3 linked regions of the Coturnix japonica genome follow. The protein of the gene in region 1 purifies or fractionates together with the protein of each later gene. This does not show direct contact. Links are inferred from orthologs where the notes say so. Each region holds a gene or a part of one and is shown in the gene's direction. Other genes may lie near its edges.

Evidence for each region.
Region 2: the proteins of SNX9 (region 1) and DNM1 purify together in Homo sapiens (co-immunoprecipitation; 6 studies listed by BioGRID and IntAct, counting the BioPlex papers as one, with this or other methods). This does not show direct contact. The link is inferred for Coturnix japonica from reciprocal best matches to the Homo sapiens genes SNX9 and DNM1.
Region 3: the proteins of SNX9 (region 1) and SYNJ1 purify together in Homo sapiens (co-immunoprecipitation; 3 studies listed by BioGRID and IntAct, counting the BioPlex papers as one, with this or other methods). This does not show direct contact. The link is inferred for Coturnix japonica from reciprocal best matches to the Homo sapiens genes SNX9 and SYNJ1.

Annotation. Positions count from the first base shown.
Region 1 is NC_029518.1:46,790,624-46,794,131, forward strand, and holds part of SNX9 (sorting nexin-9), read left to right. Parts: intron 1-147; coding exon 148-301; intron 302-1,314; coding exon 1,315-1,399; intron 1,400-2,268; coding exon 2,269-2,394; intron 2,395-2,668; coding exon 2,669-2,786; intron 2,787-3,508. UniProt on the Homo sapiens protein: Involved in endocytosis and intracellular vesicle trafficking, both during interphase and at the end of mitosis. Required for efficient progress through mitosis and cytokinesis. Required for normal formation of the cleavage furrow at the end of mitosis.
Region 2 is NC_029532.1:3,809,464-3,813,771, reverse strand, and holds the start of DNM1 (dynamin-1), read left to right. Parts: upstream 1-1,506; 5' UTR 1,507-1,659; coding exon 1,660-1,820; intron 1,821-4,308. UniProt on the Homo sapiens protein: Catalyzes the hydrolysis of GTP and utilizes this energy to mediate vesicle scission and participates in many forms of endocytosis, such as clathrin-mediated endocytosis or synaptic vesicle endocytosis as well as rapid endocytosis (RE).
Region 3 is NC_029516.1:94,512,717-94,517,020, reverse strand, and holds the start of SYNJ1 (synaptojanin-1), read left to right. Parts: upstream 1-1,502; 5' UTR 1,503-1,507; coding exon 1,508-1,596; intron 1,597-2,656; coding exon 2,657-2,802; intron 2,803-4,304. UniProt on the Homo sapiens protein: Phosphatase that acts on various phosphoinositides, including phosphatidylinositol 4-phosphate, phosphatidylinositol (4,5)-bisphosphate and phosphatidylinositol (3,4,5)-trisphosphate. Has a role in clathrin-mediated endocytosis.

The DNA of each region.
Region 1 (3,508 bases):
TGAAGAAGAATAAAAAAATACAAGATCCAGCTATAGCTCTTCACTATATTTACCTTGTTGATTATTCGTGTATGAGTGCTGAGGAGTGTGCTTCTGCTTTCTAAACAGAAAGTGTGTAACTGTCTTAACCCTTCCTTTCCACTTCAGCAGCTGCTGATGACGATGATTGGGATGATGACTGGGATGACCCAAAATCGTCTTCACCATCTTACCTTGGTTACAAGGAAACTGAGTCTTCAGAGGCTGGGGGGTCCCAACGTGGAAACTCTCGTGCAGCTGCTATGAAGCTACCACTTAACAAGTAATGGAAAATACAGAACAGATGTGTCTATATTGATGAGAACTGGAATTTTTCAAGTAGCATAGATGTGTTGCTGTTAAACCTTCTTGAGATATGCAGTGTAAATAATATTTTGGGGGGTAAAAATATATGTGGATTAAGTATTGGGTCTATGTGATTAGATAATGTAGATTCAAGAAAATCTGGAAGTACATCACAAAACTATTTTTGGAGACATTATGCAAACAAATAATGCTTTTACAAGCTCTGTATTTCTGGACGTACTGTTGGTTAAGTTCATAGTGACTAGTCATTCACAGATGGTTGATTTTGTTCATCAGTGGACATTTTGTTCAGTTATGCTGCAGTGTGGCATCTACTAGTTGCAAATCTATTCAGTATGACCAGCATAAAAATAATTTAAAAGCATTTGTCTGAAAAGTATGTCAAACTTGCAGTGTATCTTCAAGCAAATAGTAGATTATTGATACTTCAAGAGCTAAGTATCTTCTTAATTAAAAAGAGAACCACTGTTTGCTACTCATAAAGCCCTTGCACAGGCTTTAAGGATGCTACAGTGATTTTTATGCATTTTTTTTCTAATTAGTGGACAAATTATTTCAACTCATGCTTAGAAGTACTTTTTAAATCTGCACTCCATTGTTATTTCAGATGATTGAATTCTCATTGTCTGAAACAGCAAGGTGTGCATGTGTGTAATTGCATGTATGCATCTGCAAAGTATGGGCTGCAATGAATGGCATGGCAAATGTTAGTGCATGCCCTACTATTACATTTGCTCTGGTGGACTGCAGATCACAACTAACTACATGTCATGCAAGAAGGGGCCTGTATTACACAGACAAAAGATGGAGATTAGCAGCTCAAACTTCTCTCCTTCTGGGTGAACAGTTGGTAACCTGTCACAATTTTTTTCTGTTTTTGAGAAATGCTAAGTGTTTTTCTTAGTGGTGGTGTATTCTGCACATATTGAAATAGGATGCAAAGTAAACTTATCGCTTTGTTTTGGTTAGATTTCCTGGATTTGCAAAACCTGGAATGGAACAGTATTTATTGGCAAAGCAGCTAGCAAAACCAAAAGAGAAGATTCCCATTATCGTAAGTCGGAGGTGGATAAGTGCGTGTGACTTTTGTTTAGTGGGTTGGCTGTATTTTTGTTTGGTTATTTCTATTTCTAGCAGGGTGGTAGCTGATTTCTGACTTGTTTTAGGTGTTGGTTTTTTGTTTTGTTTCATTTTTTAGATTCTTTCCACTTCCCTTCTTACCCAGGTTAACTTTTAGCCTCAGGGTTGTTAAATGTATCTGGGTTAGACAAAATCAGTGCTTAATACATAATTAGAAATGTCACTGTCATTGTGAAACTGTACACCACTTAAAGTCACAATAGACCACATTTCAGAGTCCTTTATCACTGAAGGTTATTTCAGACTCAGAGTCTTAACTCTTCTAAGTGTACTAATGTTTTCAAAATTATTTTTAATAGCATTTTTCTTACCTGCATTATTTATGAATGTGAAAAACAAGCCTTGTTGATATGGAGAGGGCAGAAAATGCATTACCCTGTCTCAGCTTTCTAGATAGTTGCCTCATGTGAAGTACATTCATGAAGGTTTCCTATATTCAGTCATGATGATGAGTTCATCTGCTGATCTAACAAACTGACTGTTCTAGATCTATACTATTATAGTGAAATGTGGTCGAGGTCGTAATACCTACAATGCTCCTTAATTATTTGGAAAAAAAAAATATGTATATATAAAAATACTTAAATACAACTGTGGTAAATGATCTCTAGCTGCAGGAAACCCCTGTGTTTCCTGATTCTTAGGCTAATTTTTAAATGAAGAGTTAGAAACTGTTTTGGAAATATTCTTTGTTGATATATGGAATGTATTTGTTTCCTTGTTTGCAGCTGGTACGATGTCATGTATTCAATTAAAAACAGTAATATTTGCAATTTCTTACAGATTGGTGATTATGGCCCAATGTGGGTTTATCCTACCTCTACGTTTGATTGTGTGGTAGCAGATCCCAAAAAAGGTTCAAAAATGTACGGTCTCAAGAGCTACATTGAGTATCAGCTGACCTGCACTGTAAGTGTATCTGAAACAGGCTCTTTCACAAATGTGGGTCATTAGTACAGACAAATAAGTTTGTTCAAGTTGGTAACTGAGTTGTAAATGATGGTTGACACCAGTTTTCCCCAAAGAGTAACTTTATTTCCTAGCGGTTTTAGTTCTGTAACTGTAGATTCAAGGCTCTACATTGTAAGTTTTATTTCACGTTCCACATATTTACTGGTCACACTTGTTTCATGTTGCTATCTGTAGTTGCCTGTCAGAATTCAGAGTTGTGTTTCTCTTACAGAACACTAATCGATCTGTCAACCACAGATACAAGCACTTTGACTGGTTGTACGAACGTCTCCTGGTTAAATTTGGATTAGCCATTCCAATCCCATCTCTTCCAGACAAGCAAGTAACAGGTAAATGTTTATTACTTGTTTGTGGATTTATGGGAATCTTAGAATCACCAAAGTTGGAAAAGACCTCCAAGATCGTCCAGTCCAACTGTCCACTTTCACCAACATTTCCCACTAAACCATGTCACTCAGCACAGCATCTAAGCATTTCTTGCACACCTCCACAGATAGTGACTCCAGCACCTCCCATTTTCTTTAAAAAAGATTAAAAAAAACACTTTTCATTGTTCAGTATTTATGGTAAACTAACTATCTGTTGCTAACAAAACACCACTACTAAAAGCATCATTTCATATCTCCAGTTTATTTCTCTAGGCCACTGATTTAAAGCCAAGATAAAATAGATTTTGTTTGTTTGTTTATTTACTGTTATTTCCCTATTATTACAGAAAATATTTGCTGTTGGAGAAAATAATTAACTAGTTATGTTCTCTATTTGACTATCCGGAGGAATTGTTTTGAGATTTTTGTTTTACTTTTCTTTGCATTTGATTGTGAAAGTGCTGTGTTGTAGGACCTTTGCAGTAAAGCTCTCAGAGGAAAGGGAGCATCCTCCTATAAGCTGTTCTTTGCCTATAAGTAAAATGGTGCAGCTATTCCTCCTATTGCTTGATTTCACACTTGTTCTGGAAAGCATATTTTGTGTGTATAGCACTGTGCTCCAGTCTGATGCCCATTCGGCTTGACTAAAATTTTCAAAGCCTGTGAAAGTCAGTTGTTCTTAC
Region 2 (4,308 bases), on another chromosome or scaffold:
AGTTCTTGTAGGAGTAACACTGCAGGCGCACACTGTACTCTTATTTCTCCCAGAGTGCAACTGCAAAGCTGAGGATGCAAGAACTTATTCTTTAAACCTCTGTAAGAGTTCCACTAATACTGAGATATATAATAACATTGATAATATTATCATGATATTGATAACACTGATCTCTCTGCTAAGAGATCTGTGCAAAATCCAGCAATATCACTGCATCACAAAAGCTGCAGTGGTCACAATCACACATCATTAATGTAATAGGAGCATTAGAGGCAGGTGTGGATTCATAGGGATGAGTGCAAGGGAAGGAAAAAAGTCAAGTCCCTATAAGCATTAATGAGGCAATAAGCATTGATGTCAGCAGGCAGCAAGAACAGGTGGATGGGAAATTGGTAATCACAGCCTGAACCTCTGATTAATCAGCTGAGGTGAGTGTGGGGTCAGCTCTGGGAGCACAGGTGGCAGTAATGGAGCTGTGCTCCCGGATGGGATGGAGCTCGACTCCACCTCCTCCAGACCTCATTTAAGGGCTGACCACCACTAAGGCAGCATCTCTTGGAGGCTGCTGCTTGGTGGAGGTTGCCTCAGCAGTTCCCAGCAGACTGAAGGCTTCCATATGGGTGAGTTTTTCCTGTAAGTAACCTTTTGGGTATTTACTACCATCTTTTCATTGCTGTCACTGTACAACAGGGTTCTCCAAAAGCGAAGAAGGATCTAGCAGGTGAATCTCAGAGCTGACAAGGCAGCCTTACCAACCAGCTCCTGGTGCCACTGCATCCAACAGAGGCCCAATCAAAGCAAGCAGCAGTGATAGGGCAGGTGTAAGATCAGTAGGAAAACTAGCAATAGGACCGTTGATTTCTAAGCAAACAGGTTAACAATGAAATATAACTAATACTAAGATAACAGCATCTATGTTGGAGGAGAATCATGTAGCTCTATAGGCATACAGGGATATGACTGAGTTGGAAGTCAATACTGGTCTGACTTTAAATAGAGCACCTAGGAGCACAGAAGCTTCAGATGACGCTAATTAGTCATCAAGGCTCATTAGCATAGCTATTGTATTACAGGATACTGTTGCAGTGGTGTAGTCAGGTAGTTTACCAGCAGTAAACTGAACCATGTGCTTAAACTTCAGGTTATGCCAACTTCTAGGAACAAAGCAATTTCCTTCTCATGGTTCTTTGTATAATGCTTTAAAGATCCGTGTGGTATGGAGTGCCCTAAACACCAGCTCTGACCCATAGAGGAAGGTGACATCGCTCTTTAAATGCCTGATGCCTTTTGGTCTTTGCTTTGACCTCTACAAAGGGGCAGCATCAACTTCTGCATTAAAACACATTAAGATAACAATTAAAACATTAACACGAATTGCACAGCTTGGAATCTATCGCAGGTTTCGGTGCTCCATCCCCCCGCTGTGAGTTCTGTGATGCAGCCCCTCACAAACTACAACTCCCATCGTGCAGAGCAGCGTCTGCAGCTTTAAAGCGCCCCACTGCGGCGGCTCGCACGGAGCAGAGCTGAGCTGAGCCCGGGCGGCGTCGAGCGGAGCGGAGCGGGCTGGAGCCCTGCGGCCGGGCGGGGAGGGTCGGTACCCGGCGCTGTTAGAGCTGAAGCGGGCGGTCAGAGGGAGAGAGGAGCCACGCCGCCACCATGGGGAACCGCGGGATGGAAGATCTGATCCCGCTGGTCAACCGGCTGCAGGACGCCTTCGCCGCCATCGGGCAGAACGCGAACCTCGACCTGCCGCAGATCGCTGTGGTCGGAGGGCAGAGCGCCGGCAAGAGCTCGGTGCTGGAGAATTTCGTCGGCAGGTAACGGAGCGGGGAGAGCTGCGGGCTGTGAGCGGAGCTGCGGGCGGTGCGTGCGGCACAGCCGCGGGGTGTGCGGGAGGGGCGGCACGGGAGAAGCCGCCGGGTGCTTGAGCGATGCGATGTGTGTGTGTATAGTGCGGTGTAGGGCACGGAGAGCGATGTGTGTGTGTATAGTGCGGTGTAGGGCACGGAGCTGCCGGCTGCACGCGGCGGAGCCGTTGGGCGCACGGGCGGTGCGGTGCATTGCGAGAGCCGCGGGGTGCGCGCAGTGCGGGGCGCTGCGGGGCGAGCAGGGGGAGGGATCCGCGGCGGAGCCCCCGGCATTGCCGCAGCTCGGGGCTGGAGGGAGCCCCCGTTACATAACGGAGCGGAACGGCCCCGAATCATCCCCCCACCCCCGGTCAGGTGCCCCCTCGGGTGTGCGTGAGGCTGAGGGTCGGTGTGATCCGCGTTGGGTGCCGCGTCTGGAGCTGCGGGAAGGACGTGCCCGCATCCCCGCTGCTACCATTTTGTGGCAGGCGATGCACCGCTGCCTTCCCTTCATGTGACCTTCGCATTCATCATCTGCAACTTGAGTCAATGGCAGCGCCGTGATCCGCTCCGACACACAACACCTGGGGAGGGGTTGTTCCTCAGCTGTGCTGACCTCCTTAATTAATTGCATTCAGCCATACGCAGGTTTAGCTATCAAGGTATTTTGTGATGCTGTAAGCAGCTTGCTGTTGCCTTGCCTGAAAGCAGCAGCTGCTGTGATACCTGCTCAATGCTTGCGTGGGCTTTTCTTTATCAGAAAGCTGTATTGATGACAATGGCTGTGGGATGCTGTTCTCCCACCATTCTCCTCTTTCTGTTTAAACATACAATACAGAACAGCTTGTGAGGGAGGTCTGCAGTGTGTACGAGTTGTTTGTTTACCTGCAAGCCCCCCAAATTCTGTTCCTGTGCCTCGAGCAGTGCTGCATACATGGGCTGAAGGCACAGGATTGTGCTTTCTCTGAGCCAGATACAGCAGGAGCAAGATTTGTTTAAGATACAGAAACACATCCAACATTTGGGATCCTTTCTGATCCTTCAGTCTATGCAATATCCCCCAGAGATCCTGGGAGTCCTGCAGGGAAGGACATTGCATGAATGCGTTTCACTGAGCCTCATGTCACCGGGATCCACCTTTTTGTTCACTAACCCAGACAAAAGTACAAATTCCTACCCATGAAGGGGAAGATTTGCAGCCCCACAGCTTACTGAAGGGGAGGAGGGGTCTCCTGGAGCATGTAAGCACAGCGGGTTCACCTGTTGGCTCTGCTGTTTTCATGCTTTCTAAGTACTGGCAGCCTGACCTCGTAAATCCTTTTTAGAGGATCTGTGCAGGCAGTGCTGCAGTGTGCTGGATGGCTGCAGGACTGCAGGAGGGTTTGTTGAGGGATGGTGGTTGGGGTGTGCTGCCCCTTTCTTTGAGGCTGAGAAAACATAATGGGGTCATGGTCATCTCCACTGGGATCAATGGGAGCTGGGGAGTGTCTGCCTGCTGGAGGGCAAGGGAATGAAATTGTGCTCCTGGTTTCCATTTTGTGGATGATTCCTGGCAGGACCTGTGGCCTCAGTGACCCGTCAGTCTCTCCAGCAGTGTGCTATGGTGGCTTATAGGGAATGCAGTAATGGTGGGTCCCCAGAGCAGGAGCTGTGTGAAGCTGTCCATAGCAAAGCGTATAAGGGAAATAATTAGGCTGGAAATTAAAATCATGTCGAAGGGAGGAGGTCCTTTTCCATTTGATAGCATTGAATGCTGCCTGGATTAGAGACTGGTAACGTGAGGCATCTTACACAGAATATATGTGTGTATGCTGCAAAACCTAAACCTTCTAGAATAGCACTGGGAGCCTGTAATGCATCGTGTTACTGTTTTGTGTAGGGTTGAAAAACACAAGCAGCAGCTATGGAAGAACAGAATAAGCATGGCTCCTCATTGTGCTAGTGGCGTGAGGAGGAACTGTGGCCTGCTGTGTACAAATGTCATTGTTAGTGTGGCCGTGGCATATGTCACATCTCCAGCCTGGTGCTGGGATGGTGGTGCAGCAGCTGCTCACTGCACGTGGAATTAGGGTGCTGATGAGCTGCTCAGAGTGCTCGGAGGTCTGCATGCAAACAGCAGCTGATGCAGTTGTGCTGCATGATGTGCTTGGTAGAGATGTTCAGTAGAGGGGCTGGGCTGGCTTTCCCCTCCATACCTGTCAAACTCATTCCAAATGATCAAGCTGTGTTCATGCAGCAGGACAACCTGCTGGTCCCTGTGCCAGCCCCAGGCTCTGGCTGTGCAGGACTTCAGCCCAGGGCTGCTGCTGACATCTTGCAGCAGCGCTGAATCCCACACATGCAAAGCCTCAAAGCACAGTGGAGTGTTGCTGACTGCAATCGGTGTTTACTTATGTATCTTCCCAAACAAATATCTTTTTTTCTTCCTGCACACGAAGGCTTCTTAGTTGCTGCTAAT
Region 3 (4,304 bases), on another chromosome or scaffold:
TATACTCAAAATTCTATGGGAACTCTTGAGATGTAGTAACCTCTTTAGGTAGTTAGCATCGTTTAGAAACAGGGAAGATGTATAACATTGCATGTAAAATTGGGGGACATTCTGAATTGTGATAAAAGGGAGGTTTGTTTACAAGGGGGTTCCTGCCTCATCGCAGACAGAGTCCTCACTAACGCCTACAACAATAAACACACTTAATAATCCAAGAGCCGACCACTTAAGTCTCTGCTCCAAACCATGAGGTAAGTTTGTTTTTCTTCATATATGTGACCTGTCCCATTGACTCCACTTTTGTGCTTCATGCACATATTTAAATGTCTAAGGTAGTCAGGCATTGGAATGCACTGCCCAGGGAGGTGGTGGAGTCACCGACCATGGGAGTGTTCAATAAACATGTGGATGTTGTGTTGATGAATATGGTTTAGCCGGGAAGTATTGGTAATGGTTGAACTATATGATCTTCTAGGTCTTTTCCAACCTTGATAATTCTGTAATTCTGTGATTCTGTTTTCATAACAGAAATGTATCATATAACAGATGTATCTCCAAGACTCAGTGTGATATTTTTCATACATATGTAAACCCATCTTTTCATAGCCTAAATTTCAACAAAGCTCTCGAGCACTGTCTTATTTTCTGCCTTAAGATTTTAGTGACACCTTGCCAAGTACCTCTGGCATTTCCTCTTGTTCAGCTCCACGCAGTCAGTGACTGCCCAGCCCTCCCATTTGTCAAGGTCTCTCTGTAAGACCTCCCTACCTTCAAGAGAGTCAGCTTAATGGGCAGGGGTACTACTTCACAGAATCACAGAATTGTAGGGGTTGGAAGGGACCTCTAGAGATCATCGAGTCCAACCCCCCTGCCAAAGCAGGCTCCCTACACCACGTCACACAGGTAGGCGTCCAGGCGGGTCTTGAATATCTCCAGAGAAGGAGACTCCACCACCTCCCTGGGCAGCCTGTTCCAGTGCTCCGTCACCCTCACTGTAAAGAAGTTCTTCCGCACATTCGTGCGGAACTTCCTATGCTGTACTTTCATCCCATTACCCCTAGTCCTGTCCCCACGCACTACTGAAAAGAGACCAGCCTCGCCACTATGGCTCCCACACCTCAGGTATTTATAAACCTGGATCAAGTCCCCTCTCAGCCTTCTTTTCTCAAGGCTAAACAGACCCAGTTCCCTAAGTCTCTCCTCATAGGGGAGATGCTCCAGGCCCTTCACCATCTTAGTGGCCCTCCGCTGGACTCTTTCCAAGAGATCCCTGTCTTTTTTGTACTGGGGAGCCCAGAACTGGACACAATATTCCAGATGAGGCAGAGCAGAGGGGGAGGAGAGGGGGAGGATCACCTCCTTCAACCTGCTGGATACTTGTCCCTAAGGGCTCGGCTCCAGCCCCGTCCTGACACACATCCCCCTCCTCACCGCCCCAAGGTAGCACGGCCATAACATCCACCATGGCTCCGCCGCCTCCCCGTGCCTTCCGGTGGCGGGCGGCGCAATGCGGAAGGGACGGAGGGGCCGGAGCGGAAGTGAGGTGCCGCCGGCTCCCGCGGCAGGGAGCGCAGCGGGCGGCAGCTGTGGCGGCCGGTGAGGAGCTGCGGGGCCGGTATTGGGGCGGGTCGGCGGCACCGCGGGCGGCTGTCGGTACGGGAGGAGCCCGCTCGGCTGTCGCCGTGGCGGGTGTCGGGCTGCGGGGGCGCCGCGGGCGCCAGACAAGATGGAGGCTCTGTCAGCGCCGCGGGCGCCGGGCAGGTGGAGGGGCGGGGGCTGCTCGACCGGTGCCGGCTCCTTGGCCGGCCGCTCCTGCCTGTGTCGTATGAGGGGGCGGAAGGTCGGTGCCGCTGTCAGCCCTCAGGTTACCGGCGTGGGGCTGCGGGAATGGAGCATGTTCGCTGCTTTCTAGCCGCTCCTCTATGCTCTGTGCATTCCTTCAGCCCCTGATATATCGGTGGGCTGCTGGTGTTTTGTGGTTTGGTATTGCTTTTTTTCATTGCTCCGAAGGAAGGTGTTACCTTTATGGCTTGTCAGCGGTCTCTCTCGTGCGGTGCTGCGATTTTCTAATCGTCAGCCGCTGCGAGGGAGGGCTTAAGTCCAGACGGAGCTCCGCGTTCGTTTATAAAGAGAAACCAAGCAGTAGGTTATCGTCTCTGTATGTTATTCCAAAGCCTCTTAGCAGCTTTACTGTTTGAAATGTAGTGTCCTTTTATACAAGGTCAGCATGAGCAAAAGGCATCGTAAAACTGAAGCTCCTGGCCCTCTGTGTTCAGCAGAAGGTTGCTGCTGCTCTAATGTGTTTGTGGCGACTAAAGGAGAACCTCATCTCCAGTTTCTCTGAGTCTGGTTTAGGTATTGCAAAAGAAATTCTGGTTGTTCTGGAGGAGATCTTAAATAAATCCTTTGTGCTGCTCTGGGCAATTATGTTTTTGCAATGCTGGCATGTTGTCTTTAAGCTATCTTTAGATATATTTGTTTTGAAACATAAAGTAAATCTCATGAACTAGAAAGAGTGAGCATCTCTTTTCTTCTTTTTCTCTTTTTTGTTGTTAGATCTGTAAAATTCTTAGGAAAGAATGGAAGTCAGACCTGTTCTGCAGAAGGTATCTGGAAGCACAGGAAGCTCTCACTAACATCATCTTGTGTTGGACAGGACTGCCAGCGATAAAGGCAAAATGGCTTTCAGTAAAGGATATCGTGTCTATCACAAGCTGGATCCGCTCCCGTTCAGCGTGATAGTGGAAGCCAGAAACAGAGAAGAATGTCTCATGTTTGAATCTGGAGCCGTGGCTGTCCTCTGTAAGTCACTATGTTTTGATAAATACAATGAAAAAACTGGCAACCTTGACGTTGTGGAAGCTGTTTTTATTTATGACAGATAAGGAAGAAGCAGCAATTCTGGTTTTTATTTGCTAATGGAGATCCTTTTGATTTAAATGGAAGAAATGTTTCGTATCTTTATCTGTTGGAAAGAGAATTTTACACATTTAATTAGATTTTCATCATGAATATGTATTGCCATGTATACAAAATATTCTTCCAATATCTGCCAGCGTCTGCTTATCTTTGGTTCTGAGCAATCGTCTGCCTTTGAGTACACAATGACTCATTAAAAAGCAAAATCTGTGGTGCACTTATTACAAAGTGCTGTATTCTTAAATGGTGCATCATCTTAGTTTGTTTATCTCACTTTGTATTATGACTTAGATGGGTTTTTTTTTTGTTTTTAAATCTATGTTGCACCTGTGTTTTTAACCTATCACCATACATTGTGTGTTAGATCATCTCATAATAAAGTCAGTCAATGTTTTGAGCAAGATGTCTTGTATTGCATAGTCATTTTTATGTGCTTTCAGTGCTAAATGCATCAAATGCTTGTGTTTTTTCAAGTCAGAGTCGAAGGAGGGCTCTAAAACAGGAAGTGCAGAAAAGATCCTTTAAACCTACAGACAGGGTCTAAAAATATACTTTGGTTTGTATTCTTCAGTACAAAGGCCTGAGCACCAGGTTGCCAAGAGTTCCTAGGCTTCTTCTGGGCAACCTGATCTAGTAAATGTGTATGTTTGGTGGCCCTGCCAGGCAGGGGGGTTGGAACTACATGACCCTTGAGGTCCCTTCCAACCCGGGTCATTCTGTGATTCTGTGATTCTTGAATCTTGTGGAAAGCTTGAGTACTGTGGATGTACTTCTTTTGAATGGATCAATTTTTGTTGAAAATTGGTGCCCAGTGTGAGGTTGTAATGCATTGCCTGCAGCCTTACAGGGCTCACAGGTGGGTTGTTGTCTCCCCGTAGGGTGCTCTGGCCCAGATAGGGTAGAGTGGGCTGAGCCGGCAACATGTTCCCTCCTACAGCAAGGCTGAAGGTTAGAAGTGGGAGTTCTGAAGTGGGATTGGAGATGCATTCCCTACCCTACCTTTGGTATCTGTAATTGTTTGTATGCCTGATGCACTCCTTAGCTGTGGCATTGCCTCTTTGTGAGGCACCTGGCTGACCCTGTATCCTGCAAGTTAAGTGCTTAGAAATCAGGCCATAGTTTGTGCTGAACCGGCTGTGTGAGCTAGTGCTCTCTTGCCTGTGTCTCAATCTGTACCTTAGTTAATGTGATATTTGGAGCTGCTATGATCCGATACAGGTCTAGCCATGGGACTTGCTAGCACAGTTGACATTACAAATGAAATTAACTCACAGTTATCAATGTCAAAAACTGTGAGTGCTTTCTTCCCATTTTTTGATATTTGTTTTTATCTGTTACAGTTTCTTCTTAATATTTGTGTAACTTATCTTGTTGACTTTGCCAGC